4 linked regions of the Tamandua tetradactyla genome follow. The protein of the gene in region 2 purifies or fractionates together with the protein of the main gene of each other region. This does not show direct contact. Links are inferred from orthologs where the notes say so. Each region holds a gene or a part of one and is shown on either strand. Other genes may lie near its edges. The genes, in order: CDC45, CLSPN, RAD9A and ATR.

What was found.
Region 1: the proteins of CLSPN (region 2) and CDC45 purify together in Homo sapiens (affinity purification with western blotting; 4 studies listed by BioGRID and IntAct, with this or other methods). This does not show direct contact. The link is inferred for Tamandua tetradactyla from reciprocal best matches to the Homo sapiens genes CLSPN and CDC45.
Region 3: the proteins of CLSPN (region 2) and RAD9A purify together in Homo sapiens (affinity purification with western blotting; 3 studies listed by BioGRID and IntAct, with this or other methods). This does not show direct contact. The link is inferred for Tamandua tetradactyla from reciprocal best matches to the Homo sapiens genes CLSPN and RAD9A.
Region 4: the proteins of CLSPN (region 2) and ATR purify together in Homo sapiens (affinity purification with western blotting; 3 studies listed by BioGRID). This does not show direct contact. The link is inferred for Tamandua tetradactyla from reciprocal best matches to the Homo sapiens genes CLSPN and ATR.

What each region holds. Positions count from the first base shown.
Region 1 is NC_135331.1:27,901,411-27,909,428, reverse strand, and holds the start of CDC45 (cell division control protein 45 homolog), read right to left. Parts: upstream 3,001-8,018; 5' UTR 2,622-3,000; coding exon 2,436-2,621; exon of another isoform or gene 2,355-2,435; intron 2,297-2,354; coding exon 2,237-2,296; intron 1,570-2,236; coding exon 1,477-1,569; intron 391-1,476; coding exon 253-390; intron 1-252. Other genes in the region: UFD1 (ubiquitin recognition factor in ER-associated degradation protein 1), read left to right, coding at 3,035-3,077, 3,205-3,383, 5,492-5,624, 6,007-6,039, 7,433-7,554. UniProt on the Homo sapiens protein: Required for initiation of chromosomal DNA replication. Core component of CDC45-MCM-GINS (CMG) helicase, the molecular machine that unwinds template DNA during replication, and around which the replisome is built.
Region 2 is NC_135328.1:189,610,540-189,618,037, forward strand, and holds the start of CLSPN (claspin), read left to right. Parts: upstream 1-4,488; 5' UTR 4,489-4,810; coding exon 4,811-4,840; intron 4,841-7,498.
Region 3 is NC_135335.1:7,100,245-7,107,404, forward strand, and holds the start of RAD9A (cell cycle checkpoint control protein RAD9A), read right to left. Parts: upstream 3,002-7,160; 5' UTR 2,588-3,001; intron 205-2,587; 5' UTR 37-204; exon of another isoform or gene 1-36. Other genes in the region: SSH3 (protein phosphatase Slingshot homolog 3), read right to left, coding at 6,373-6,660. UniProt on the Homo sapiens protein: Component of the 9-1-1 cell-cycle checkpoint response complex that plays a major role in DNA repair. The 9-1-1 complex is recruited to DNA lesion upon damage by the RAD17-replication factor C (RFC) clamp loader complex.
Region 4 is NC_135341.1:86,773,853-86,781,180, forward strand, and holds the start of ATR (serine/threonine-protein kinase ATR), read right to left. Parts: upstream 3,020-7,328; 5' UTR 2,898-3,019; coding exon 2,839-2,897; intron 1-2,838. UniProt on the Homo sapiens protein: Serine/threonine protein kinase which activates checkpoint signaling upon genotoxic stresses such as ionizing radiation (IR), ultraviolet light (UV), or DNA replication stalling, thereby acting as a DNA damage sensor.

The sequences.
Region 1 (8,018 bases), on a different chromosome or scaffold from region 2:
GATGCCTGAGCAAAAGCAGAAGCCAGAAGGAGAAGCCCTGTGACAGGGGCAGAGATGCAAGCCAAGGGACACCAAGAACTGCAGTGAGCCAGCACCACAGTACACAGACTCTGGGAGAAGTTGTGGCCTGTCGAGACCCTGATTATGGACTTCTGGCTTCCGAAACAAAGAGACAGTAAATTCCCCTTGCTGAAGCCCACCAGTGCGTCCTAGCAGCCCTGGAAAATTAAGACAGCCCCTGAAGCTGGTTACCTGAGTGTCGTTGTACACATTCACGACGTTGACTGGCCTGTGGGTGTCACATACAAAGAATATGGTGTCTTCCTCAGGTTGCAGGATATCCAACAGGTCTACATTCGCTCCACAGTTTATAAGGATAAAGTAACGGAACTAAAAAGGGACATAGACACCATAATATACATTCATCGAGGTGTATCTTACGTTCATGGCACAAGGCCTTAGCGTTTCTGCAGAGACCCAATGAGTCCCCAGCACTATGGTGGGCTTGAGGCCCAGGATGAAGCTAGGGGACTCTGAGAACAGCCATGGGTAGTCTGTAGCAAGTGCTTTCATTTGCTCCTTCATCTCATCGCCACATCTCACCATGGGGCAGGCGCTATGGTTGGGCCTGCAGTGCAGAGGAGCCCGAGTTGTGCACACAGGCACCTGCGGTTAACAAGGAATGGATAAAGACTTCAAACATAGAATGATCTCTCCAGACCCCATAGTCACTGTGCTGCACAGCTTCTCCTTGCTCATAGCATTGCAGAGCTTTAGCTCTTCAGCAGATCTTGAACAATTCATATCTTCAGGGAACCTAAATGTTAAGTTCAGTTCTTCATTCATGCAATTGCCATAGGAAATCCTTCCCTTACAAATATCAAACTGGCATAGATCCCTCCCATGAAGACAGGAGCTGCAGGCCAGGACTAGCTCTGCCAGAACAGTCTCAGATATGGCAAAAGACTCCACGAACCCTTCTCTTCAGCCCAGCCCCTCCCTGTGCGGCCAAGATGTCCCATCACTCATTATAGTCCCATGCAGAGGTGCAAGGAGCCGTGGCCTCTGCTGTTTAAATTACAAAAGGAGAAGAGACATTCCTGGATTTCAAGTTGGAACCTAGTATACGTTTTCTTGGAGAGGTAACATAAAATGTCAGCATATTCTAAGATAGTTTTCACTATGCCTTATTAAAAACTAACTGCTAAATTTCATGCGCTGTATGGTGAAATTTCTGCAACACAAGCTCAAAGCTAGGGAATATTGATATTCACTGGCTTTTTTAATTGTCAATTCTGCCTCTACAACTTGAGAATAAGTGACCAGTGTACACACATTATACCCTTCTCTTCAACGTTACTTAATATGGCCGATAATTAAATATCTGCTTAACTTATTATTGAATTGAAAAAGTTCTAAGTGTTGAGACATTGCAATCGAGTTACAAAGCCTATTAGCCTAACGCATCTTTCATACCTGTTCCTTATGCTCAAGAAACGCAGTTTCAAGTTCTTGCCACCCAGAAACTGGAACCAGCGTGTACTGCACGTGGTCACACTGGAACAAGGCCTGGAGAGAAAGTATTTTCTAAGTCTACCTCACTTAAGATATCTGCAATTTCCTTGAAGGGCAAGTCAGCACCTGCCCTTCCCCCAAAAAAGGAAAGATGATTTTAAAAGAGCATCAGAGGATAGATGCTAAAACAAGGTTGGTACCAGTTTTTACTGCATCATTCTGCCAGCTTTGTGGAATGTTTGAAAATTACTAAAGTGAAACACTGGGAGAAAAAAGCTCCTCTTATTTCTAGGACTTCAGAGAAGTTCCTGATCCAACTGCCTGACTGAAGCTCAATGAAAAGTCCCATCTTCAAAACAGATATTCCTGAGGGGACCCACGGCCCCGGTGTTTCCAGTATGGTTACGACACACCATTATGCCTCAGTTGTCACAGATTCCAGTCTCTCAAACCTCACGCTTAAAAGGCCACCATAGGTCTTGAATGCAAGTTTTTTTTTTTTTTTTGCATAGGTTATTGCAAAAAATGCTAACTGCTCTGCCTGCCTTTCGCCTCATCGCTAACGCACCCCACACTGTACAGCCAGGGAGGTAACTTTTCAGGGGCCCTGTCCCCAGCCTTCAGTGGTCTATGCTCTAGTGACAACTCCGGCCTGCGCCCTCACCTCTCGACGTGCTCCCTCCCGACCCTGGCCCGCCCTCTCAGGTCCCGCGGGGTTCACCTGAAGGATCTTGCAGGCGCACAGCGCGTCCACGTCAGAGGCCACGAAGAGAAGGACTCTCTGTGAGGGAAGAGCGGGCGGGCTGGGCGCAGCGACTCGAGCCCACGTCCCTCCCGCCCTCCCGGCCGCACACGGCCTCTCCCACCTCGCCCCTCGCCCCCGACAGGGCCCCGGCTGGGGGACCCGGAGCGGGACTCACCTGATTCTGGACCAGCTCGTAAAACTCCTTGCGGAAATCGGACACGAACATGGCCACGGCGGCCGGACGCCCTGCGCTCGCACCGGGACGCTGCTGGCTCCAGCGGCGGTCAAGACTCCCGCCAAAAAACAGGGCTCTTTCGATTGGCCCATGCCGCCAACCAATAGCTGCTCGGTTCCCAGCCATGCCTCCTTCCTGATTGGGCCATGGTAGGGGCGGGAACTAGCGCTCCGCCAACCACGGCTGGAAAATTCCGGACGGCCCCCCGGAAAGGAGCGTCTAACCCTGCAGGACGTAAACATGGTTGCCACCTTCAACCTCTGACTTCCATTTACCCAGAAGCCTGATGCTCGGTGGACATCTTTACTGTGGGAAAAGAAGCCTACTTCTTCCCACGGGGAAGTCCAAAACAAAGAAACCTGCCCGCCATAAATTAAACTTAGTTTTGCTTCGAATAAGGAGCAACTCGTTTCGTTTTCAATAGGTTCTCGGTGAAGTTCGAAGGCGGATATGTAGCTAACTTCCGCCCAATTTCTCTATGTCTGAACCAGAGGCCGGAAATTTAGCGTGCATTCTGGGTAGTGTAGTCGGGAACTACAATGGACTCTACCAGGTTCGTGTGGAGGGGAGTACCGCCAAAATGTAATTAAAATAATTCGAAAGAATTAGCTGTAGAGTGCGAGCCTAGCTAGGGAACGGTATTACCTGTTCTTTCGACGAGGGAAGTTCTAGGTTATAGGGTCTTTGTCCTGGTTTCTGTCTTTTTCAGACGGCCCTCGGCCCAGTCCTCCCCCCTCAGCATGCACAGGTCAGAACTGCCTTCCGGTGAGCGTCCCGGGGTGTCCGAGTGGCGGCGGCGGCTGTGGTGGAGAGGCTGAACGCTCGGCGGCTCTCACCGTAACGTTCTCTAGGGGAAGTGGCGCCTGCAAGGCAGAGGTGTCAGTCATGGTGAGCGCGGTCAGGCTTGGCCGAGTGCGGGGGCCGGGTGGGGCAGCCGGCTGAGATGCCGAGTCACGCGTACCAGGTTAGGCCCTGGGCCGCAGGTGGCCTCTCTGCATCTCCGCTTGTCCGGGCTTGGTCCGCCTTTCCTTCAGCTGGACTCTGAGATCTTTAGGGGTGAAAAGTAGCCTTCTACGTTTGTGTCCACCCGTGGTCTCGTTAGTGTAAGACAAGAAGCAGGTTTCATAAGCACGGAATTAATCTAAACGTTTTTGGAGGTGGGGAGCAGAATCATGGGGGGCTCCCCCTTGGGCAGGGACATCCCCAGTTCCTCGAGCTCAGTGCCTCCTGGTTCATGCCCAGATTGTGTTCACGACCTCGTTATGTTTACGTCCTCGAATGTCCCTTTTTCTGTTCAGGCTCATTACCATCGTGCAGCAGCATTGCCTCAGTATCATCAGCCCATTCCAGTAAACGACATGGGTGTGATTTTATCCTAAGTGTGTCAGAGTTGAATCATATTTCTGCTCCCAGGTTCATCCACTTAACAGACAGCAAATACCAGTTATGTGCCAGGCCCAGTGCTAGGAATCGGAATTATAAAGTATAGTAAGAGGTGGGGGTCGGGAGCAGCAGGGAGGGGCAGAAGGTCAGGTGCATGGGGGAGTTGAAGGCAGATGAAGGGTGTTGCATATTTTGGGTGCGTTTCCTCTTTTTTTGCAAAGAGAAGAACCAGCTCAGTGGATGGTGTAGTGTGAGCTGTTCAGGAAAGGCTTCCACTCCTCTCCCTCTCTAGATCCTGAGATACCCTGTATTATTTGTCAGGCTTCTGGGTGAGATATTGTTGAACAGCATCAACTGCTTAAAAGAGAGAGACTACAGTTTAAAAGCTACTGTACTAGAGTTCCAGGAATTGAAGAACCATCTGCCATTCTTTATGTAGGAGTGTGCTAATTTTGCATTTTAGGAAGATAGCTGATCCAGCTTACCAATTTTGGAATTGCTAGTAAAATAATATCAGTAGGTGGCTTTCTCCTGTATTTAATGTGTACGTGGAGCCAAGTCAGGAAATATTTTATTGCAAGGTTTTATTCTCTTTGAAACATTATCAGCAGTTGCAGTACTTTGAGAAAACCCATCACGGAGGAGCAACATGTTTTCTAAACCTCATCTTAGTCCACACTCATTAAGAGGTGGGGTCTTGCCTTTTAATGGTGCTGTGTCTTGGCCTTACTGATTAAATGTGAGGAAGTTCTTGGGGAGAGCATAATATTTACACCTACTCTGCACTGTGAAATGCTTTGGGGGAGCCCCAGACCTAATGCTGGCAAAGCAGAGGTTTCCTAGGAAGGGAAAAGATGGTAATGGAGAGCCAGGTGGAGGAATACAAACCCTGGGTGCCTGCGGTTCCTGCTGCCTGGAATGCCTTTCTTTGCTTTTTGCCCAGCTCCTACTCATTCAGTTCTTTACAGAGAGACCTTTCCTCAGCACCTGTTTAAAACAGCATCCCCTTACCCAGCCTCTTGTCTTCACAGCATTTACCACCGCCTGACATGGTTGGGTTTACTTTTGCTTGGAGCCCTTGTTTCGAAGGTCAGCTCCAACAGGGCAGAGGTTGTATCTGTTTTGTTCATTGATGTTTTCCAAGTGCTCAGAGCAGAACCTGGAAGAGTGTAGGCACTCGATAAGTATGTGTTTTTAGATTAATAAACATTTATTAAATTAACGAAAGGAACAATGTTCTGGGCAGGCTTGGGAGATCGTGTGTCAGTGAGCAAGTCTCTGAGTTGTGAAAGATCTGGCCTTGGCCCCAGGGACGGTGGGGAGCCCCTGAGGGAGGTGAAGGAAAGGACTGAGCCACGGCCAACTTTGTATTTTGGTAAATCACACTTTCTAAAAATGATGGAGACAAGATCTGAGGGATTAGGCTGGGGACGGTGGAACCAATTGAAACCCAGAGATTGAGATTGCCTCTGTACCTGGGCAGGACATGAAGATTTTAGTACATTTTGCTCTTTGACGATGTTTTGCACCATCAGTTACCCTCATGTGTTTTGGCTTTTGACATAAAGAAATATTCCTTAGCTCTAACACCAGCACCTCTTTTCTCCTTCTAGTTCTCCTTCAATATGTTTGACCACCCGATCCCGCGGGTCTTCCAGAACCGCTTCTCCACACAGTACCGCTGCTTCTCCGTGTCCATGCTCGCAGGGCCTAATGACAGGTCAGATGTGGAGAAAGGAGGGAAGAGTATGTGCTTGTTTTTATTTGACTCGTAACCTTTCCTGCCCCTAAGCCCGCAATGCTTGTAGCCATCCCCTTCCACAGCATTATTTTGTCCAGTAACTGGAAGCTAGTGTTCCAGTGACAATGTTGCTTGTCCCAGACTTGCTGAGGGGGTAGGGGGTTGGTTAATTCTGATGAGATTTACAGCTGGTACCTATTCAGTTCCTTAAAATAAATTACATTAAATAAGATTCTTTATGAAAGATCGTTATGAAATTCTGGTTGTCCTAAAATTAAAATATTGCTTATAACTTTTTTTGGGGGGGGTTAACAAAAGTTGCATTTTGGCTTTTGTTTCTGCCTTTTTTTTTTCTTTTAAATACTTTTTAAAATATTCTTTCTACAGTAATCATGCCACCTTCAGCCCTCGATCAACTCAGTAAGTATTTTCTAAGCAACTTGATAATTCAGGTCAGCTGTGAGGTGCTCTGGGCACGGGACTGGCCTCAGGGCCCACTGCCACTCAGCTACCACATTGGAAGCCACCCTTGGCAAGGAGGAGGGGACACCTCTTCCCACTGCTGCCTCTGCAGTGAGGTGCTACTTCTGAGGGGCTTCCTCTTGGAAGAACTGCCAGAACTTCCTGCCCCAGCTGTCTTCACTGGGTTTGCTTTATTTAGGATTCTTAGTGGGGGGGTCAAATACAGTCTGCCTTAACCCCGTTTCTGAATGGAAATGTGTTGACTGGTTCACTGAATGCTATAAGCCAAAGACGGTATGGCTTCTTGGTGACACTGCCAGACTTGAGCCAGCAGCCTGGCGTTGGCCCTCCTAAGCTGTGCCATCTTGGGCATGCTACCTAGCCTCCTCATAGGTAAAAAGGGGTCATGAAAGTGCCGTGTCTGGGAAGAGTCGACGACGGCCTGGTTCATAGCATCCACAGCCACTGCCGTCTCCTGCCTCTTCCCCAGCACCCCAATCTCCTGGGCTTTCCTGCTTCTCAATGCTGGCCCCCTCCCTTCCAGGCCTCACTGCCTCTCCTGAGCCAGGTTTCTGCCCCATAGCCAATTGCTGGTCCCTGGTCCGCCATGCATCCCTGACCCCACAGGTCACTGGAACATAGGAGTCACTGGTTGGGACTAGCTAAGAGCCCATGTTCCTGACCAAGGGGCTGGGTATTCTGCTTATCCTCTGTGGTCCTGGCACGGCTTCCCCCCATCCTGACCTTCTTGAGCCCATCTCCATGCTCCAGCCATGCCTCACTGTGAGTGTCCCATCCACTGGCTGCCCTGCTGGGCGACAGTCCTGGAGAACTCGCCCAGCCCAAGTCCATGGCCCTTCCTGCTGGCCCTGACCACTCCCACGACACTGGCAGCGTTATGGTGGACTTATTTGTTCTCTTTTTCACCCTTATAGACTAGAAACCTTTGGAGGCGGGGATTCTGTCCAGCACCTGGTTGGCACTTAAGTTACTTATGAATACATTTAAAAATATGTCACTTAAAAAAGAAATGCCACTTTAAAATTGAGATCATTGCATACCTCAGCTAGTGCTATATTATGCCCCACACATTCCAAGTTTCTCTCTGGGGCCAAGCACTGTGCTCTAGCAGGCAGGAGGAATTCATACCCGCCTCAAGGAACATGGAGTCTTGTGGGTGGAAGACCCCAAGGGGCTGAAGACCACGTGGGATTCCAGTGCCTGCTCCACCAGTCCAAGCTGTGTGGGTGCCCTGCAGGAGCCCTGGGAGGCCACTTCCTGGGGAGGTGGTGGCGGCGGGGTGTCCCTCCTTTCTCAGACCTGTGTCCTCTACACCCCCTCTCCTTTTCAGGCCGACTTAACATCACCTACCCCATGCTTTTCAAACTGACCAACAAGAATTCAGACCGCATGACCCACTGTGGGGTGCTGGAGTTCGTGGCCGACGAGGGCATCTGCTACCTCCCACACTGGGTGAGTGCCACTGCCAGTTGGGGCCCTGCATGGCCCAAAGAGGAACAGGTCTGTCCAGGGCACAGTGGCCTCTCAGGCAGGAACCCTATTCTTCCCCTCCATGTGCCTTCCTTTCACCTAGGAAGAAGGCAGCAGAAGTGCCATGATCTGATCGGCAGCCACTTGGAGGAGTTGGTCAGAGAGTGTGGCATCTGGCTGCTGAGAGACCCTGCATTGGCCATGGGCTGGAACTGCAGGGACACTCCCTTGCCGGCCAAACCCTGTGGCCCACAAAAGCACAGCTGCTTCTCCCGCAGGTCCTTGTCGGAGTGATCATGAACTTAAGTTTTAGAGTAAATGTGTGTTGATGGTTCTGAGCATTGTCCCACCCCTCCCACAGCGGGTTTCCTTGCCCTACTGCCTGGGGGATGGCCGTCCTCAGCCCACATTCACCCTGGCTCTTCAGCTTGGATCCCAGGGCCCTT
Region 2 (7,498 bases):
AATTAGGATTAAAACATGGCTTTTCTAGGGTACATACATCCTTTCAAACTGGCACAACCCCCAACCACATTATCACTCTCTAACCTTTAGCACCCTTTATTTTTCTTCAAAGGACTTATCACTGCCTGATCTATTAAATATTTATCTACGTATTGTCTATTGTCTATCTACTGCTACAAGAATGTAATCTTCATAAGAGTTTATTCAAAACAGTATCACTTGGCCTGGCCAATTTTCAGGTGCTGCATAGCACCAAGATATAGCAACTTAAAACAACCATTTATTTCTGTAATTTTGGCTGGGTTTAGCTGGGCGATTCTGCTGTCTCACCCTTGGTCACTCTTGTGTTTGCATTCATATGGAGGCTCAGTAGGGCTGGATGGTCCAGGATGATCAGGTCTGACCGTTTGCTGTTGGCTGGGATGTCTTGATTCTCCTCTATGTGGTTCATTCAAAAGGATAGCTTGGGTTTCTGAAATGGTGGTGGCAGTAGTTTAAGATAATGAAAGTGGAAGCTACACAGCCCCTTAAGGCCCAGCCTCAGAAGCCACACAATTTTACTTTCACCATATGCTGTCAACCAATGTAAGTCACAAGTTCAGCCCAAATTCAAGAGATGGAGAACAAGATTCTGCCTCTTGATGGGAAGAATGGCAAAATCACTATGTAAAAGGGAGACGACAGAACGCCATGATTATTCTCACAATCTTCCACAATGATCCACAATGATCCTTTGTTGTCATTCCCTAAAAATCTTATCATCATTCCTGTCTCCATGCCTTTACCCATTCCATTTTCCCTGCCTAAAATAGTATCCGTTTTCTTCTTTGCCTATATAAACACGGACATAAACATCAGTTTTTCACTGATGTTTAGCAACCATGGCCCCACCCTTTACTGGCCCCACCTTGGCCAGTAAAACCTTAGTCATTATAACAACTGTGACAAATCCCCTGATTGAATACCAGTGGCAAAATCACCTTTTGGCCCATAGTGGATACAATATCGTTTTGTCTAGCTGTACCCCAACTATCCCCCCCATGACTTCCTCATACTGATCTACTTTTAGTTTCCCAAACATAACATGCTGCATCAAGCCTCTACACATGCCTTGCATGTCTTCTTCTCCCCACGTTGGCCTGCAGAATTCCAATTCATCTTCAAAAATCAGTTCAGGGATCATCTCTTGCTGACTTTCCCAAGGTGAAGCCATTTGCCCCACCTCAGGCCCCCAAAGCCACTTGATTTTAATCTGGTGATATAAATTCAGAAAACTTTCTACTAGTAGATCTATCATTCCACCACACAAATCAATATTAAAAAGAAAGTCTGAAATTACATGTCTATGAAATAATAAGCTATGAAATTTAACATGCTTAGCTCATCCCAAAGTTGTTCCATTTATATTTGCTCTTCCATTATTGCACACTCTTGTTTGCTTGCCTGTTTCCAACCCAGCAATGTGAAACTCTTTGAGAACAAGGCTGTATTTTATTTATCTTTATATTTTCAGCATCTAGAATAGGCTTAAAATAGGTGCTCAAGATTTCTCAAATAAGTGGATGAGTATGTTATGGGTACTTTAGGTTGTGGCAAAGGACATTCTGCACACAAAATAGCTGATGGGAAAAGGCCCTGGTACTTTTTTTTTTTTTTAGGCTATGATATTTTAATGATTCAGTCAGCAATTATTTATTAAGTGTCTACAATGTGTCAGGTCCAGTGCCATTTTTAAAGGTCAGGGGTTAACTATAGTAAGCAAGAAAAATAGCCCTGGCCTTCAAGAGGGCACTTTGCAAAAGAAGCTTTTTAAATATATAGAAAAATGGCAAGGGGTCGTTTTTAAAAGCAGATACTTGGAGAAAATAAGCATTTCATGCCACCAAAGGAAACTTTAAGTAACTCTGAACAATCTTAAAATGAAAAGAAAATGGTTTTAGGATGGAGTGGCTGCTAACCATGGATGGATTGACATGACCAAGACATAACACATGGTGGCGCTGCTTCCCAGGGATGAAGATTAAAAATCCGTGTTTGGTGATTCTAGAGGTTTTAGGACTTTAGAAAAGCAAGTCGATCTCAAACTTGGTTCAGAGGAATAACAGCACTAGAAAATAAACATGGTAGGCTTTCTCAATTTGCAGAGAAGTTGAAATAAAAGATACAATTTAGTTAATTTTCTCCTTCCAAACTTTCTTAAGCCTTTGGGGCCTGCATTTGATTGTGTACCAGTGAGCAAATAAAAATAGAATACTTTGGAATGGGCTGAGCATGTTAAGTTCCATGGCTTATGATTTCATGGACATGTAATTTCAGTATTTCTTTTTAATATTGATTAGTGTGATGGAATGATAGATTCTACTAGCAGAAACTTTTCTGAATTTATATTACTGGATTAAAATCAGCAATATTGCAAAGCATTTCCTACAAATACCATACTTTCAGGTGCTCTGTCAGTTAAGCCAATCTGAGAATCATGAGCTGATCCAAGGTCTGTAAATAAGACAGCAGGGCTCTGAAAAGCTAAATGACTTACATAAGGCCATAAAGTCATCTATGGGACAGGCTCAGGCTAATCCCTTTAAACACTACAGATCTTTCCCTTGCAGCCACCTTCCATCTCCATCAAAAGGTACTCTAGGAACTTCAGCTTCCTTTCTTCACCTCTCATTCATTACTCAACCAATTACAAACTGCCTTCTATCCCCACACCCACCAATAAGATCCTATCATCATCCTCTTTTCCTCTCATGTCTCACTCTATCCACCTTTATCCTTTTATTATTAATTTCTACACTGACGATTCCAAAATATGCATCTATAGCACTCACTCTCATATTTAGAGGGCTAAGATTTTGGGGGCGCTGACTCCGTGCCAGAAGTAATTATAAGTCTCATCTTATTACTCTTCACAGTAACCTTGTGATTTAAGTAATACTGTTACCTCCATTTTAGCAGATGAGGAAACTAAAGGCCTTTAAAAAGCTAGTAACGGGGAGTCACACCCTGTTCTGACTTCAGGGATCCTAGAAGCCATCCAAGAGAACTTGCCTGAGTAGTCTCTGCATTTTCCCTCCTTTCCCTGCTCTAGTTTCCCAGTAGCATTTATTATTGTCTGAAATTTTATTTATGTCTATTTATTTTCTGTTCCAAAAGGACAAGCACTTTGTATTATTTACCAATAGCTATTCTCTACCTTGAGCAGGCATCAAAATCATTTCAAAAGCTTGTTAAAACCCACAGTGGTGAGACTTCCTGCCCCCAAAGTTTCTGATTCAACATGCCTGAAGTGGGGTCTGAGAATTGCATTTCTAACAAGTTCCCAGATGATGCTGATGTTGTTTGTTGGTCTGGGAACCACACATTGAGAACCAAGAACATCCCTGGCTCATGGTAGGGGAATCAATAAATATTTGTTGAATGTACTTGACATATATTATTCTTCCCGAATTCTCTCTCAAAAGTGTATCTTCAAATCTCTCTGCAACTTGTGAAAGAAATTTTCAACTCCCTAATGAAGTATCCAGCAAATGTCAAACTTGTCTAATCATTTGCACCTCAAACCTACTCTGCTTATCTCATAATCACCTCTACTCTGTCTTCCAAATTCAAAATTTTCAATTCTTTCCTTTCATTCCTCCATCTAATCAGTCTCCAAGTTTTGTTGATTCTACCAATAAATGGCTCTTAACTATAACACCCATTTCCCAGCACCTTAGAAAACTTGGAAGAGGGAACCAGCGGAGAGGGTGACCAACCATCCCAGTTTGTCCGGCAGGGTCCCAGAGATGTGGGAGTTTCAGTGTTAAAACTGGGAAAGTCCTGGGCAAACTGGGACTAGTTGGTCATCCTACTGGTGGATAGAACTGTGAGTGGGAGAGGTGGTAGGTGTGGTAAATAGGCTGATTTTTCTTTCCTTGCGCTCTTTGTTCTCCTCATGGTGCCCTTCGATGGCCTAACCCAACCTGAAGCCTGACCACAAGATGGAGTAATGCAGTGCCGGGAGGTTCATTTTGCTGTGACACAGGGCAGGAGAAAGAAAGGACAGGAAATGGACCTGGAGTAGCAAAAAGATAACCAACCTACTGGCAAAACTGGGATTAGAATTCTCTGGGATTACTGTGACTCCAAAGCTTTTACCTTTTTGCTTTACAGAAAGATTGAAGTGGGATGGATGACAAAGATAGTCTTTGCTATGTGAGCAGACCACAATGTTTCTTTTCTTTTGTGCTCCGTGGCATGAATGTCATACACAAGAAGGGGCAGACGGAATATAGCTGGCTGAAGGGCTGGAGCAATTGGAGAAGTCCCCCAGAGGTGCCTGGACTCCCGCTGGAAAGATTCAGAACACCACAGGAGCCCTGGGACCTCCTCCCAGCTCACTAACCGCCTGGAGGGCTCACTCCTCAAATTGCGCTGGATGGGAGTGGCCGAGCTATGGCAAGGGTCAAAGGTCAAAGATCACCACTGGCTTGTTACCTTCTTGCAAGGCCAGAAACCCGATCTCCCGATACTTTAGCGCACCTTCACCCCAGCACCCGCTCAGCTGACAAGACGAATCGCGACCCGCCAACCCGACCCAGATTATACTACTCGGAGGCGCTTAGTGATTGGTAGGACGGAGTGGGGGGCAGAGACTCCGAAAGCCTCTTTCCGATTGGTGCAAATCATCGAGGGTGGGGCTTCCACTCCGGCTGGGCGCGAAAGCTCGAAGCGGGCAGCATAGCTGAAGACGGCTGGAGCGGGTACTCCCAGACAAGGAGCCGGAAAGCTGCTTGGTCCAGAGCACAGCGCTGTGGTGACTGGAATCATGACGGGAGACGTGGCTCCTGAGGTGAATGTATGTACGTCCCTCCATCCGGGCTGTTGAGGCCCGGCGCCGAGGGGCGGGGAGGGGCACTGATGGAGACTAGCAGAGCCGGGTTCGCCTGGCCTGGAGGACTACAACTCCCGGCGTGCCCCGCGGCCGGCTCGGCGGCCCCGGGACTCTGCGGGTTACTTTTCCGCGGGCGGATTCCTGCAGTTCCTGGATTCCCGCTCTCCGGCTTCCGGAGTCTTTGCGGCGCCCCTTGCCTGCAGCCAATTGTTGTCTAGCGCTTGCCCATCTCTCCTCCACCTGCCTCTCTGCTTTGGCGCGTTTCCTGACGCGGTTGCTTTTCCTCTTAAATCGCCCCAAAAGAGGAAGGCCCAGGCCGAATAGGGTCGCCAGAGTGCAGGGCAGGATTCTCGATAGAGGCAGCGTTGTTGGGAAGTTTGAGATTTGAGTCTAGAAGGGGCCTTTGATGTCCTCGCGCGCTGATGTCACCCTAAGCCCTCCCTCCCTCTCCCCCCGTTCTCCGACTAGGCCCGCTGTGGGGAAGGAGCGGTTTCGAGCCTTCCCGATTGATGGCTGACTTTTGGGCTTAAAAACTACATTTCCAGATTCCTACTGTTTTCTGGGGTGCAGAATTTAAGGCGGCAAAACAAAAAGAAACAATAAAAACCCCTCTGGCTAAAATATCTAATAGTTTTTAAATCAAAATTAATTCGAAACATTGATAATGTGTTCCTGACCAAATGGGGGAAAAGAAATGTAATAAAATAAAATTTCAATAACTAAGAGATTTTAAATAGAGTCGGGAGACTGTTCTGGAGGTTACTCTTATGCAGGCTTCAGCTAGATATTGCAAAATGCCATGGTATGCTAAATCCCAACCAACAGTATTCCTGAAAACCCTAAAGAATACCCAGTACTCTGAGACTGTATAATAAAGTTTCACTTACTGAGTTTGCTTTTCTGAAACCTAAAACCTCCAGATTGTTCCTATACCAGCTAATCCCTGAAACCCAGAGGTACCAGTCTCTCCAAGAACATCAACCAGCTGCATCCCCCTACCCCATAAGGTCAACACCCCTTTTCAACATGAAGATTTTAGAATGGTCATTCCCCAAATAGCCCTAAAGTTTGGGAGAAGGTTCAAAGGAGAAGGAGGAGTTATAACCCAGAAGATAGGATTTAACAAATCAGTATGACTATTGAATCATATTGATATTTCTTTTTAGTCTCCAGTGTATTAGAATAGCTAGGGGGAAATATCTGAACTTGTGCAAGTGTAACTCAAATCATACTTTGAAATTTGTTCTGTAACTACTTGTTAAAATGTACTTTGAAATTTATCACTTTTTTGCATGTTATTTTTCAAAATAATTGTTTTTAAAAAAAGAACAAGAAACCCACAAAAATCAAAATTAATGCAAAAAATTCCATGATTTGATAATTGAACAAAATATCAAATAAAGACAAGATCCTCCCTGCCTCACTCACCTTACCCCACCTCATTCTCCTTACAGTAATCCAGTCCCTGATTTCAGTCCAATGAAATTTTATTTACAAAAACAAGCAACTGGGAAAAAAAAAACAAAAAACAAGCAACTGACCCCATGAGCCATAGTCTGCCATTTTGATACTTTAAAAGATATTGCATTAAAATATTATTTATCTTGATTACTGAGTTTTTCTGGTGTGTCACCATCTCCTCCTGCTTTTGTTGTAGCAGCTGCTGCTAGAAATTGCCTGGAATGGAAAAGATTAAAAGCTTTATCGTGTACAGCGCTGTGTGGTTATCTAAACTCAATTTCTGCATCTGCAAACAGAACTAATCCTTTTTGGATTGTTGGAAGGATAATCAGGATTTACCTCATAATTCCCAGTGATTCCTCAGTGTGTTACATTTTGTCATTATTTTAATAGGTGTATCAGACATTGAAATCGATTTAATAGTTATTTGAGAGGTAAGGCCTTGTGCCCTGTTACATTACAGATGTTAATATTTTCCCCCTTTTTAAGAAGTTTTGACTTAGAGCCCTGAGAACACTAAGGAGGTAGTAGACCTGGCTTCTGGGGTCTGCTTTGTCACTAACTGGTCAAGTCATTTAATACACCTCTCCTTAAGTTTTTCTAGTTTGTGACTTTTTAAAAATAAATTCCTAAACCTATACAGACTTAGAGAGACTGATACAATGAACCCATCACTCAACTCCAACACTTTTCAAATCATGGCCAGTCTTGTTTCTCCTATACCCTTACCCACTGCCCCCTATACCTGATTACTTGGAAACAAAACCATACATCATAGCATTCCATCCACATATTTCAGCATGCGTCCCTAAAAGCTAAGGGCTGTCTTAGTTTACTAGGGCTGCTTTAACACCACAGACTGTTCGGCTTAAAGAAGAGGAATGTACTGTCTCATAGTTTTGGAGACTATAAGTCCAAAATCAAGGTGTTGGCAAGATTGTGCTTTCTCTGGAGTCTGCAGCATTCTGGTGGAGGCTTGTTAGCAATCCATAACTATCTCTGCCTTTGTCACATTATCATCTATCTCCTGTCAACTGTCCACATTTCCACTGCTTATAAGTCATACTGGATTGAGGCCTCCCCTGATTCTATATGATCTCACTATAACTAATAACATCTTCAAAGATCCTTTTTACACATCAGTTCACATTCACAGAATGG
Region 3 (7,160 bases), on a different chromosome or scaffold from region 2:
TTACAGGGAACCCTGACACATCCAGCAGACACTTACCTGTAGCCAGGGAAATAGGAGCAAACTGAAGAGGCAGGTGGAGAGAAATAACAGGGCTCAGGGTGGGAGTCTGTACTGTTAGAGAGATGGTTCCAACAGCTCTCTTTGGATCATGTCTCCAGGAAAAGGGGCATTTATGGCCCTCAGAAGTCCTGCACCATCCCACACCTAGGAATGAAACAGGTAGTCAATCATGGCCCATGCCCTCTTTGGCTGAGATGGTCTCCTCTGTAATAACAGAGGATTTCAGGGAAAATCTAAACCCTTGGTGGGTAAAACAGGATATGGGAGGACGTGCCTATTCTCAAGCCATTCTCCTTTCAATCCTCTCTGTGACCTTCTCAAAAACGATCTCCATCCCATCCTGAGATAGTTCTCCTCTCTGAAAGTCAATTAACATTTCTCTCGAGGGGGCCTACCTCTTGGGACATGTTTAGCCCTGGGCAGGATTGGAAGAAGGGCAAGGGCCCAGAAGTCAGACTGAAGAAGGTGCTGCTGAAGGTAACATCATTCCTTTGCAGCAGCTACAGGCCTTAGCAACCTGTTGGCCTGGTGGATGCAGTTTCCCACTCCACGTAGATCACAGGTGGGAGAGAAATATTCTTGAGGATGAGGGAGCCAAGAAAAAAACCAGACATGGACACAAATGCCACAAGAGCCCAAGGAGTGTTCATCACTTGTCTTCCAGACAGTGGAAGTTTCCTTCCCTTGGGCTTCTTTACCTCATTTTCAGGGAAGAAGACTCACAAATCCTTCTAACTATTCACAGAAGATCCTGTTCACCGGTCTTAGTTGACAGGTACTGCATTCAACATGCCAACACGGCCCTTGACCTACAATCCATCTGCCTGTTCACGGTCCTCCTCTGAAAGGAAAGCTGTCAGAGGGCATATGAATCTAATGAAAGGGATTCCAGGTAACACAGAGATCTCACCTCAATTCCTTGCTAGTGGAAACTCACAGCCCTGGTCCATTCACTAATATTTAAAGGGTGCTAACCAGATATCAAGCTTGAATAAGACACTGATCAGAATCCAGTCCCTGCTCACCAAGGATACAGATATTTCTCTTCCAGGTCTCTCGAGGGGCTGTGGGAAGGGCACCCAGAGCATCTTTCCCCTACTTCTTGGCATATCCACATTTTCCACATCCTTCAAGCCCTAGCTCAAATGCTGTCTCTTCCTTGATGCTCTTGGTAAAGTACAGGGTCTCTCCTGCCTTCCAATCTTCAAAGCTCTATCACCTATATCCCTCTTTGGACACAGCTCTTTCTCCTTGTATTATATGAGTCTTGTATGCCTATTTGATCTTCTATCCTACATGCTATGCTTCTTGAGGGCAAAGATTGTCCTATAAATCTTCCTGTCCCTCACAACACAGTACCAGGCATATAACAGGAACTCAGGAAGTGCTCGCAGAATAATGTCTCACAGCTTCCACATAAAGATGCTTGTTGGGTGAATGAAGGCTTGTTTGTAAAGCTGCTTGGGGGGGTGGGGGGGAGGGGTCCCAGATTTAAAAAAATAATAATAATTAAAAACTCCTTGCTAGGCTTTTCCCAGTGAACACAAAGTTTGAACTCAATGCAAGCGGCACAGGATTACGATGTATTTCTCATAACTATTGTGTATATCCAGTCTTAAGGAAATAGATTTTAGCTCTATATTCAGCTGTTTTTGCATCTGTCATGTGTGTTCTCATCCTCTATGAATCGTAAGGAAAAGAAGGTGTTTTCTCCACTCTGTGTTGTTTGGCCTTCCCTAGGTGCTATGTGGTAATGCTATAACCCAGCCTGCAGCTAAAGAAGGGAGAAACCTCTGTCTTTAGCATCCAACTTCGTGTACAGAGAATGGATTTAACCAGCAATAAAGGAAGTTACTCCAGAAAATTAGGAAATGGTCTCATAGTGGCTAAGGAATTTAAAATGTTATCAGAAATGATGGCTGGGACTTGGAATGGCGCTTGCTACGTGAAGGCCCCATGCTAAAAACTTATATAGATTATCTCATTTATTCCTCAAAAACCTGAGGTCATACTATCATTATCTCCACTTGTACAAAAAAAATGGAGGCTCAAGAGATGCAGTAAATTTGCCCAGAGTCACAAACCCAGGTTTCTCTGACTCTAGGTTCTGAGCTGAGGTTCTTGCTCAAACCATACCAACGGTTTCAGCAGGATGCAAAATACGCAGAAGAGATTTTAGGGATCATCCGTTTCAACCTCCTTATTTTACAGAAAAGGAAATGGGTTCAAGGACATAAAGGCACTCGTCCCCCAGGTCACAGAGAGCCAGGAGCAGCGCTGCCCCGGCATAGCAATGGGCACTGGAAATCAAGTCCAATCCCCGACTTTGCAGAGCGGGGTGTGGGGGAGTGCCAAACCCCCGAGGGGCTGGGACTCCTCCGGTACCCGAGTTCATCAAAGGCCGAGGGGCTGGAACCCCGGGCGCGCTCGCGGCCCTGCGGGGCGCCGTCTCACCTTCACCTGCGACGCGAACCATCCCACCGGCGGCCCGCACCCCGCCCGCACCCGGCCCGAGCCCCGCAAGTACCTGTTGGCGACGCGCAGGCCCGCGGCTGGGGATGACAAGGCGCTGGTCCGGCGCAGAGACGGCGGGGCTGCGCGGGCCAGAGCTGGACACCCGCCTCGCAGGCCCGGGCCTTCCCGGCCAGTTCGCCTCAGAACGCTCAGGCCCCAGTAGCGCGCGGACAACTGAGGAAAATTCGGGAGCGCTGGTCCCGGGAGGCAGGGCCGGCCTGACTTCCTCCCCTCAAGCTTCCTATGTTACCCGGTCAGCCTTCTGCAGACCCGTTCCAAGCCCCAGTGCACCTCAAGAGGAGAAACGCCTTGGGGTTCGGGAGAGTCAAGCGGCTCGGCACCCAGGGAGTGGGGGTCTGCGGGAGGGAAGAGGAAGAAGACGGGTTCCTATGGAAACTAGATGAAGTTCTTTGCGCCTGCGCCAACGCGCTAGGTACGCTGGGAAATGTGGTTTCCCGGCTGTTCTCCCTCCCCCTCCCCGAGGCCAGAAGAATGGACGCAAGATGGCGCCCGAGCGTCGCAGTGGGTTCAAGTCAGCTGGGCGTCCGGGTTCCCCGGCACTTTTCCGAAGGAGAGGCCGCGGAGGCCTCAAAGGTAGACTCAAATCAGTCGCTGCCCAGAGGCGCCTGGGATGCGGGGGAGGGGAGGGGGCGCGGTCTCTTGAGCGCGCTCGATTTTGCGTTTGAAAACTTGTTCAAAAGAGGAGCTGCCCTGGCTCCGGGCAGGGGGGCGGCCGCGTCGGCAGAGACCTCTCCTCAGTCCGGGCCGAACCGGGCTAGGCAGAGGGAGACCGTTCGGACGGGGAGAGCTGCCCAGGATGGAACGGATGCGGTTCCTGCACGTGTAGGCGACCTCTCCTGCTGCGTGGAAGCCTAAGTGGGAGGTGACTTGGGAGACTCCGTGAGCGGGAGTCGTCCTGACCCTCCCCCTGGAGAGTTCCAGGCGGTGCCGGACCCAGAACCCGCCGTGGGCAGAACTGTGAAATCTGTGCGTTGACTTCCCAGGAACCACCTTTTCCACACCCGAGTAAGACCCCTAGACTAGGCCCCTAGAATCTAGTTCCGGTCCCTTAGAGACTCGATTACTTCCCCTGGACCTGGGTTCCTTATTTTTAAAATGGAGGTAATTATAGTGCCTGCCGTTTGTCCCTCTGGGAGTGTTGCAAGGTTCATGTGAGATGACATTGATGTGCAGTTAAAGATATGAAGGGGCATTCCCATTCGATGTAAATTGGGGCAATGCTTTGAGAGACAATTAGCCAGTGCCTCTCAAAATTAAAAATGTCCCTGTCCTTTGCTTCAGCAATTCTAGCACATGTCCTACAGACCTGGTGGTTATGTTTGCAGAGGAAAATACGTAGAAGGGTGTCTAGTGAAACATTATTCGAAATAAAAAACAAAAACCTGTAACCAACCTAAGCACTTATTGATAGCTGGCCACAAATAAATGAAGGTATATAAAATAGGATATATGTGGTTATTTTTAAATGGGGCAGCTGTTTCTGTACTGATGTGGAACTCTTCGTGACATGAAAAAAATGTCGAAGCGCAGAATAGCAAGTTAATATACTATTGTTATTTTAAAAAGAATATATGCACGCTAATACATTTGATTACATGAACATGCAGCATCAGGAGAAACTGGTAACAGTTGTTGCTTTTGAAGAGTGGAAGTGATGGATTGGAGGAAGGAATAGGAGGATGTTTCGTTTTATGTCCTTATTTCCTTTCCACTATTTTTCATTTGCTCCTTTAGCAATTTGTGCAAGTTTTTTATACACATACGGTCCTTAATCCTTTAGCCTGCATATTGAATGCAAATAGTTTTCCCTCCAGTACATGATTGGACCCAGCCTTCTGAGCTGCCCAGGCTGCAGGAGGGGAGGGCCTGGCCTTGGCTTCTGTCCCAAAACCAACACCCCCAGCCCCAGCCTAGGAAGATTGAAATGGCAGTCTGAGTGGGAGTCCGGGTTGGCTGTAGGGTGGCTAGCAGCCCTGTTTGTTCAGCAGCAAGGTGAGCCAGCCAAGCGGATCAAGAATCAGAACTAGCCTCTCTGTACCCCACCTTGCAACCCCAGGCAGGCCTCCCATAGACAGGCGCAAAGGATTCCTGTTCTAGAAACATGGGGAGGCTGAATTCTAGCAGGGTGTGCAGAGGCTATAATTCACATAGATGGCAGATGAGGGAGGGTGCTTGGAGATTTTCCTGTCTAAGTCCTTTGCTTTATAGAAAGAAACAGAGATTTGAGGTGGACTAAGTTGTAAGTGGTAAAGCCAGAGCGAGGCTCCAAGTTTCCAGGTTTCCTGCCCACCCCCACCCTACCCCCACCCCCATCTCCAGTGTTTGGCTTGATGCCCAAGCGCTGCTAGGAGTCACGCCAGGGTCTGGGTGAGGGGGTCCATCTTAAAACTGCAAGTGAGGCCTCAAAGACGAGAATATTTGAAAGGAATTGTACAACCCCTCACCCAAACCAGAGCAGTGTGTCGTAGGGCTGAGAGTATGATCTTGAAAAGAGGGGCCAGAACTAATTAAGGTGGGACCACTTACTCTTGAACACTGAATTGGAGCAGAAGGAACCCCTAGGCAGAAGGGGTGGGGCCCGGCGAGGGTCCTTCTTTCCTGGCCAGGATGGGTTGGCTGTCTTGCCTGTAGCAGAGGGAAGGGATGCTTGGGACTCAGAGTGGTTGAGACCTACCTAGCCTTGGGTGTCTGAGAGGAGACTGAGCTTCTGGAACAGGCTTGGTCCTGTCCAGATGGGCAGTGGCAGCTTCCGCTTCCTCATGGGTAACTCCCTTCAATTGTCCCAACAGAGCCAAACACCTGCTGCCAAGGCATGGGCTCGCTCCTTCACTGGCCTGCCTGAGCTTCCTGAGGGGCAGGGGCAGCTAACATTTACACAGGCCCTGCCCCAGGAGATGAGGGAGAGAGCAGTGGCCTCCCTTCTTCTCTCCCGCATTCTCCCTCCTCCTCCCCCCACAAACGTCCCACTACCCAAAGGGTCTGTCATGAGACATCTGGGAATTCTGATGTGACTGAGTAGTAATGAGAAGCCAGCTCCTCATGCAACCAGAGAAGGACTTGACTGATGACAAAATGGCTCAATCATAAAATTGAAAAGAACTTAATATGAAAATGTCTTTTTATTTCTAAGTACAAAGCCAGATACTATCAAGACTGTGAAAAACTGGCCAGAGGCTGTGAAGGACAAAAAGACGACTCTCTTTGGCCTGGTACCCTGTGACCCAGTGCAGTGCCGTGGGGAGAAGGCACCAGCAAAACCCCTGGGCCAGCTGTGAGGTGTGCACAGGGGGCTCACATGCCAGCCCGTCAGAGCAGCCCAGCATGCGGCCCCAGGGCCTCCCTGGACTGGGGACTGAGGTACCATCTGCCGTGGTGGTCCATGCATTCTCTGGTCCTAGTTGGCCCCAGAAATGAGGTGCAGTGGGAGGTGGGGAGGGAGGCAAGGGCCTTTCTATACTGCCAAACTCTGTTTTTATTCCTGTGGCTGCAGGTGAAGGTTTTAGGGCAGCAGTTGAGAGAAGTTAGGGTGCTGTTGCCCCCAAAGGCACTGTCAGGCTTTCTACTGCATCCTTCAAGATAAAGTCTTGAGCCCTTGGGCAGGTGGATGAGGGTCTGAGGCTGAAGGCTCTAGGAGGGTGAGGCTGTAGTGACGGGTCTGGGGACGCTGGGGAGGAGCTAAGAGGAAAGTGTATAGACAGAGAGGAGTGGGGAGTGTTTGTCCGAGGAGCTGTGGCCTCCATTTAGTGTCTAGGGGAGCACGCGTGTGTGTGTGAGGGCTCAGGCCCCACCCTCCTCGCCACTGTCATCCACGCTGGCCTGCCTAACCATCTTCCGGAACCTGGGTGTGGGGGGACAGCCAGCCTCTCTCTGCTCTTGCTCCTGCTCCTGGAAGGCACGGGCCCGGCTAGCCACCAGGGCAGCGCCCTGGAGGGCAACCACAGACTGGCGGGACTTCAGGGCAGGCCAGGGCCCCTTGCGGACCCGCCGGTCCCCCTTGGCCCTTGATTGCTGAGGGCAGGGTTGTGGGGAAGGGTCTTCCTCTGAAGACTCATTTGAAGAGAAAACCTGGATGGGTGAGAGGACAGGGAGGAAAAGTGAAGAGAAGGCTTTTAAAAGCAAGGGCTGTCTTATTGATTGTTGAACAGAAAGCCTGGCAGAGGCTAGGTGGAAAACGCTTGAGTAAGTGCAGAGAAACTGAACTGCTCGTGGTCACAGTTCCCTAGGAGGAAAAAGCCCCACAGCCTGGCCATCTCCCTGCTGCTGGCCCCCCTCCCCCTGCCTGTTCCTTCCTTCTGGCTCCCATCTCCCCTCACCTGCCACTTCCTTGAAGCCCTCTCCTCCGCCTTCTGCCCCTCTACTTTTCAACAGTCAGTCCAGTGACCTCATAGGAAACCCTTCTGGGTGCCAGGCCCTGGACTGGGGGTGTTTGGGTGCTGGATAAGGATACCGTGCCTTTGGGAACACCCACAACGCATCCATCCAACCATCCATGCCTCCCTTTCCTCCACATCCAGGGCCGCCTCCTCCAGGAAGCCTCCTCCCAATCTTCGCATCCTCTCTGAGCT
Region 4 (7,328 bases), on a different chromosome or scaffold from region 2:
CCAGAAAATTTTTAATTATATGTGTAGCTTGCATTATATTTCTATCAGATGGTACCGATCTAGACATCTGGAAAATCTGTTAGAACCCTGATTCTTCAACAAATAAATTCCAAAGGAAGAGAGCAGAAACCTATAACTAATACTTAAGAGCCATACCAACCAATTACAATGTATGATCCTAAATTGAACTCTGCTTCAAAAGTAAAATTGGGAAAATCTAAACAGCCTAGATATTTGATATTATTGAGGAACTATTATTCTGTAGGTGTGATAATGATATTGTGACTATGTTTAAGTCTTTATCCTCTAAAGCCAAATATTGATATTTATGGATGAAATGATATCTGGAATTTGCTCCAAAGTAATCTGAGTTGCAAATAGGAGTATGATGAATTGATTATTATTGGGTGATGGGTAGAAGGGGAATTAATACATACACTATTTTTTCTCCTTTAAATGTTTGAAATTCTCCACAATGAAAGTTTTAAAAAGTTAAGAAAAAACACATATATTGAGTTTTAAAAATATATATTAGGAACAGATATAATAGTTAAGCTAAGGAATGGTACCCTACAAGCCTAAATGAATTCAACTTGAGCTCCATTCTTTAATTTAAACCAACACAGAACGTAGTAGAAAATCTGTTTGCTATCACATAGTATAAGGAAACATATAGTCATCTAAGTCTTGAACAAACCATTTTGAGCACCTAACATGTGCCAGGCAACACAGTAGGAGCCTCTAGTGGGAAGATGAAAAACACAGTGGGGTAGAATGTTAAGTGGGGTAGAGAGAACTGTGAGTCCATTCACCGAGAGTTAATACAGGACAAAACACAGGTCTGGGGAGAAAAAGGAATCCAGTTTTAAAAATATTGAGTCTGATTTGGGGGAACTAATTGGAGATGTCCAAGAGATAGTTGGAATTCAGTTCTAGTCCACAAGAAATGTCTATTTTAGAGATATAGACTTGTTGTGCCAGCAAGTGGGCTAAAACATATTGTCTATGATATTTCATTTAATATTCACAAGCAACAAGATAAGGATACTACTGTCTAGGAGAAGACTAATACTACTCACAGAGATTATATACCTAGCCTAAAGTCACACAGCTAGTAATAGCAAAGGCTTGAAGTCATTGCAATAAAACAGACATGATAATTTAAAAGTATTAGGCAATTATTCATAAGTCAGTTTTTCTATCCTTTCTTTTGGAATGGCTACAAATAAATAAAATGAAAGGTAACACATTCTGTTGAAGAAACAGACAAATGCAAATCCAAGATACCATTATTTGTATTAATATATCTTATGGAGGAAGAGAGAAAAGGAAAGTTTAACCAACTAATTCTACATTAAAGCAAGATGGGGAAAATATACTGAGCTTCATAAATAGTAAGTCTGAAAAATGAAATCTGCACAACTTCCTAAAGAAGCACTTTTATGAATCTTCTTTTAGTCAAGAAGTTACTTTACAAAATGTTAACTCAAAATATACTTGCAACATTGTTTAACACAAGGCATACTTGCAACATTCACCAAAAGTGGAAACAATTTCACACACAGAAAACAGGGTGATGCAGTTGGCACAAGAATGATGTAGGTTTCTTCATCTGTCCTCTAATTTATGTAACTGAGAAAGACTAAATTTCTTTGCAAGGTAGACAAGTGGAGATAAACACGACTGCACTGCAAAAAGAAAGGGAATTAGTTATTCCACCGGTTTAATGTTAGTTTCCACTTTGTATGGAAAGGTTTCAAACACCTAAAGAAATTGGGAAGAAATTATTATCCCAACTCATCTGGGGTAGTAGCACCAGCCTTCTTACTGGCAGGGTAAACACAGGAACAAAACCCGCTGCCTGGGCTCTTCAGGCTTATTGTTTGAGCTGGGAAGCCTGCGAAACGTGTCCCAGGGGGACTGCGGTTACCAGCACCTCTCCCCTCCACCGCTAAGGTGCCGGTGGACTTGACTTTACTGCAGCGCTAACAGGAAACAGAAATTTGCAAATGAAATAATGTTAAATTTACTCCAAATTTATGCAACACTGAAAGTTTAGATTTGCGATTGCTCTGGAAATAATGTTAAATTTACTCCGAATTTATGCAACACTGAAAGCTTAGATTTGCGATTGCTCTGGAAATAATGTTAAATTTACTCCAAATTTATGCAACACTGAAAGTTTAGATTTGCGATTGCTCTGGCCAATCCGTCGGATTTCTTCAGATACCAGGCATTTCCACGGCCTGAGTAAAATAATGGCGTGGGGGACCGGAGGGGGATACGAAGGGGCTCACATCTTCTAGAATGGCTTACGACTTCACTCTGAAGAAAGGAACTACGCTGTTAACAAGTGACCGTCCTTGCAGAAAATGAGAGCCGCTGATGCTTCTTCCAAAGGCAGTTCTGGAACAAGACGGTAACATACTAACTTCTCCAGGAGCGAACCTAAGAGTAGATATTGGGGAAGGTGTTGGGCAAGGCCCTTTAACTAAGGAAAGAGGTTTTCGGAAAGCGACCGGGTTTCAGAAGAGTGACCAGAAGCGACCACGGGGGCCGCTCCTCCGGCGGCGGCGGACACACCCCCGTGGGGCCGGGCGCGTGCGGGCAGCCGCCTTCAGTTCCTCAGGCCGGCTTCCGCGGACGGCGTGGACACACGGCGTCCTCTGTCCGGCCTCTGAGGGCGAGGCGCCCAGCTCGGTCACCGAACGTCTCCACAAAGGCCGAAGCGGGTGCTCAGAGGGCCGGGGCAGGGCCGCCGCCAGAGAGGGGAACCACGTGAGGCGCCGGCCCGCCGGGGAGGACACGGGAACCCAAAGCGGCCAAGCCTGGTCCTACCTAGCCAGCTCCCGCAGGGCCGGGATCATGGAAGCCAACTCCAGGCCGGGCTCGCCCATGCTGAAGCCGCGCGTTACTCGTCCACGACGCCGACTCGGGGACCTGGCATCACCACCGCTACCTTTAGCGGGAAGACGCGACGGTGCCTCGCGGGGCCCAAAACTCCTCCCCGAAGCTGCTGCGGATGTAGGACTCGGGGGGGAGGGGCGGGGAGGGCGGGGCCGGCGGCGGGCGAGCGGGTCTCGCGATAGTTCGCGCTTAGCCCGGCGCTGCGCGGGTCTGCGCGTCCGAGCGTCTGGGCTCCGAATTGCGGGTCGCTGCCCCGTGGGCTGGGAGGCCCCGCGGCCCCGGAGGCCGGGGGCTTGGCGGTTCCGACCCAGACGCCCTCGCCGACCTGCCCCCAGGTTTTAGGGGTTCCTCATTTCTCCACTCCCTTGACGACCTTTCTCAGGGAATCGGGGGAAAGGCGGGCTCCTCCCGCTCCTCTCTATACTTCAGCAGGTTTTTTCCATTTAAAGTTACGTCTATTGAGGATTCTCACAACCTTTAATTTTTAAAATTGGGGTTGGTTTGTGTTTATATATCTCCTCAAACCTTAGCCGTATTATTGTGTCGCCGTTCTGGGCCTCGGATACCTATGACTTAACTTTTAAAGTAAATCACTGGGTTTTGGCTCTCGACACTTTTCCCTCAGCCCGGCTTGGTCATCTGAGAGAGGACCGTTACCAGAGGCTGTTTCCACGGCAAAACCGTGTATTCCACCAGGCGGAGCCGTGCAGCGTGCTCGCTTGTGTTCTCTGGCCTGGGGATACATGTCGGTACAGCAGCGAACAAATGGAAGGAGAGAGGGACGACCGGGTGTGCGCCTGCCTCGGGGCCTTGGCGTCGCGGCCCATGCCCGGGTCCAGGCGCCGGTCCCTCGCCCCTCCCCCCGGTCTGCGTCGGCGTCGCCAGAGCCCCGCCCCCTGCCGGCCGGTGCGCGCGCTCACGCTCGCTCCCGCGGACCTGCGGGGTTTTTCTTCAGGGCGCCCAGAACCAAGTGATATATTGCATATGATTTTATTGACCGTCTCCTGCAATTAGAATATAAGCTCCTTGAAAACAGAGTTTTGTCTGTTTTGTTCACTGCTAGGTCCCCAGGACCTAAAACGGTGTCTGGCACGTAGCCGGTGTTCAACAAGGGTTTGTTGAATGAGTATTTGAGTGCTGTGGTGGAAAGAACATAGGATTAGGAGTTGGAAGCCCTGGACAACTCCTCATTCCACCTGCTAGAAACTCTATGGCTATAGAGATGAAACTCTATTTCATCTCTTTGCACTCCACTTTATTTCACCCATAAATAATCTAACTCATGAGACTGCAGTAAAAATTAAAGTCGTGTAGTGGAATACCATTTCTTGAATGAATTATGTTGTACTTGGATAGATGAATTCTGAAAATAATGTGAGTGAAAAAACAAATTGCAAAGGACTACATAACAGTATTATATCACTCCTGTACACTGTTTAAAGCGCAAAATAATTCCTTGCTCAGGGTATGTATACATACGTATATAACAAAAGTATAGAAACATTGTTGGGAAGGATACATCAACTTCATAGTGGTATTTCTAGAAAGGGAGATAATGAAATGTTGAGACAAACTATTTGTGAAGGTTTTAACAGACTCTTCAGTAAATGTGGCAAATTTAACATTATATTTGTTATGTTATATTATTCTTTGTATGGTTAGGATGTATACATTTTTTGGATGTATTAGTTTGTAAGTTGCCGGAATGTGATATACCAGAATTGGAATGGTTTTTAGAAAGGGGAATTTAATAAGTTACAAGTTTATAGTTCTAAACCTGTAAAAATGCCCAAGCAAGACATCCTGGGAAAGATAACCCTAATTCAAGGAAGGCCGATGGGTCAGGAACGCCTCTGTCAGGTGAGAAGTCATGTGGCTGCATCTGCTGGTCCCCTGCTCCTGGGCTCCGTTGCTTTCAGCCTCTGTTCCTGTGAGGGCTCCTCACTTTGCTTCTCTGGGGCTGGCTTTCATCTCTTGGCTTCCCTTGGCTCTCTCCAGGTTCTGGCTTGCTAACATCTCATGGCGTCGTCTGCTGGGCTCCAAGCATCTCCAAACACCCATGTCTCTGTTCCCCAAGTGTCTGTATCTGTGTCAGCTCTGCTCTGAGCTCTCTACAAAATGTTTCCCCTTTTAAAGGACTCCAGTAATCAAGACCCACCTTGAATGGGCAGAGTCACATCTCCATCTAAAAAAAGGTCACACCCACAGTTGGGCGTGACACATCTTTGTGGGGGTAATTTAATCAAAATTTTCCATTTACAAAAGTGAATCAGGATTAAAAGTAACAGCCACTCCCACAAGATAAGAATCAGGATTAAAACATGGTTTTTCTGGGGTACATAATAGATTCTAACTGGCACAAATATATTTTTAAAAGCTTAAGTTAGATAACATATAAAACACTTTATCAACTAAAAAGTAATAAATATTAGCTATTTTAGATATGAAGAAAGATTATAAAAATTGCTATTTTATCTGAAAGGCAATAGCTGAATAGCATTATAATTCTAAAAGACACTATGAATCCCCGAATGTTGAAGTAATAGAATAATAATAATAGGAAATTAAATAATCCAATTTAATTCAAAAAGTGATTTTTCTGAAAAGTACTGCCTGGATCCTACTGTGATACAAAGAAGAGGACGATAAAGTCAATCTCAAAGTAATGTACAATCTAGTAAGAATGCAAAAAGTTAAAAGTAAAGCAAAAATTGATAAATGCATAAGAGATATAAACAGGTTACAATGAAATATATAGAAGAGGAAAAGGGTATGTCTTCTCCAATGGAGAGAGGAGGTGGAATGCAAAGGGGCTCCAGGAAAAGGTAAAACCATATCTGAGATAGGACTTGAAGGATGTGTAGGATTTGGAGAGACAGTGACCGAGGAAGAGTAATATAGTCTAATTAGAGGCAGCAATGTGAATAAAAAGTAAAGAGCATTATTAGGGAGAGATGAATGGTTCAGTTTGGCTGGTGCTAGCAGTGTCCCAGATCAGGAAGTTCCAGCCAGCCGTGTGTGTAGACCTGTCTCCACTGATGAGTAAACTAGGGCGGGAAACCACCAGGTGGCACTGCAACCCAGCTGAGACCAAGATGAACTTGTCCTTGGCTGGATGCCTAAACTGGAGGGCTAGTTGTGCAGGTTCTGTCATAATGTGTCTATGATAGAGTCTAAGATTTTGCTATTTAATGTACATCATAAAGTATACACTAAAATAGAAATCTTTTAAAAATACCAGAAGTTTTACAAGTTCCTCTCTATACCTGAATGGGTCTCCATGTTCACCTCCTGCGTACACACACACACGCATCACTGTGGAGTTGTTCTACACAGCAGACAAAACAACCTTTTCAAAACCCAGATATAATCATGCCATTTGCCTGCTTCATTAGCTTGAATAAGTATTGAGTATTGTCAGGCATAGATTAATGGGTAAGAAAGGAACACGTCTGTTGTTTTTCATTAGAAAAAGCCTCAAATAATAGACCAACATAGCCACAAGCCAACATTCTTAAATTAATAAAGTAGAATAAATGATTAAACACAACATAACTGCACTAATCCATTTGGCCTGTTTAGTAGAAATACTGCAAAAATCTAATATGAAAAACATTTAGTTCTAATAAAGGAACGCATATAGTGTTTGAGAACTTTAAAGTTAAGTCATTTTTCTTCCTATCTTTGTGGCAATTTCACATCTACTGAGGATATATTATAAAACTGGAACTCCACTGTATTTGGAGGCAATTCAGAAATAATAACATGGACTACTTCCCTTGAGTTGGGATATTTATATCTTAGTTGTGAATTATTGTCATTTTCCTTGTCAAGTATGACCCTAAGATTATATCAGATTTATGGGAATAATAAGGATTATTTGCATTTGCAATCAATATTTTTGCTTTTCTCAAAATACTTTCAGCTGTTTCATCTGATGCTATACTCCTAGTGACTGTGATATACATGAAAATTAAGGGGAGAGGTTACAGAGTATGGGTTTTCAAACTTCAGCATGCTTAGGAATTGCCTGGAAGGCTTGTTAAAACAGATTCCTGAGTCTCAAGTCAAGAGATTCTCATTCATTAGATCTGAAAAGGAATTCAATAATTTGCATTTTTAACAAGCTCCTAAGTAATGCTGACACTGCTAGTCCATGGACCACATTTTGAGTTAGAACTGTTTTAGAACAAGAGTTCTTATCCTTGGCTGCACATTGAAATTACCTGGGGAGTTTTAGAAAGTACGTGGATCCCACTCCCAGGGATTCTTATTTAATTGGTCTAGGGTAAGGCAGTTAGATGTATTTGTATACATTTCCCTGGTTATATTAGTATGTCTATTAATAATTTGAATTTTTCTGTAAATTACCTATTTAAAACTTTACCATTTTTTATTCGGTTTTTGTCTTTTTATTGATA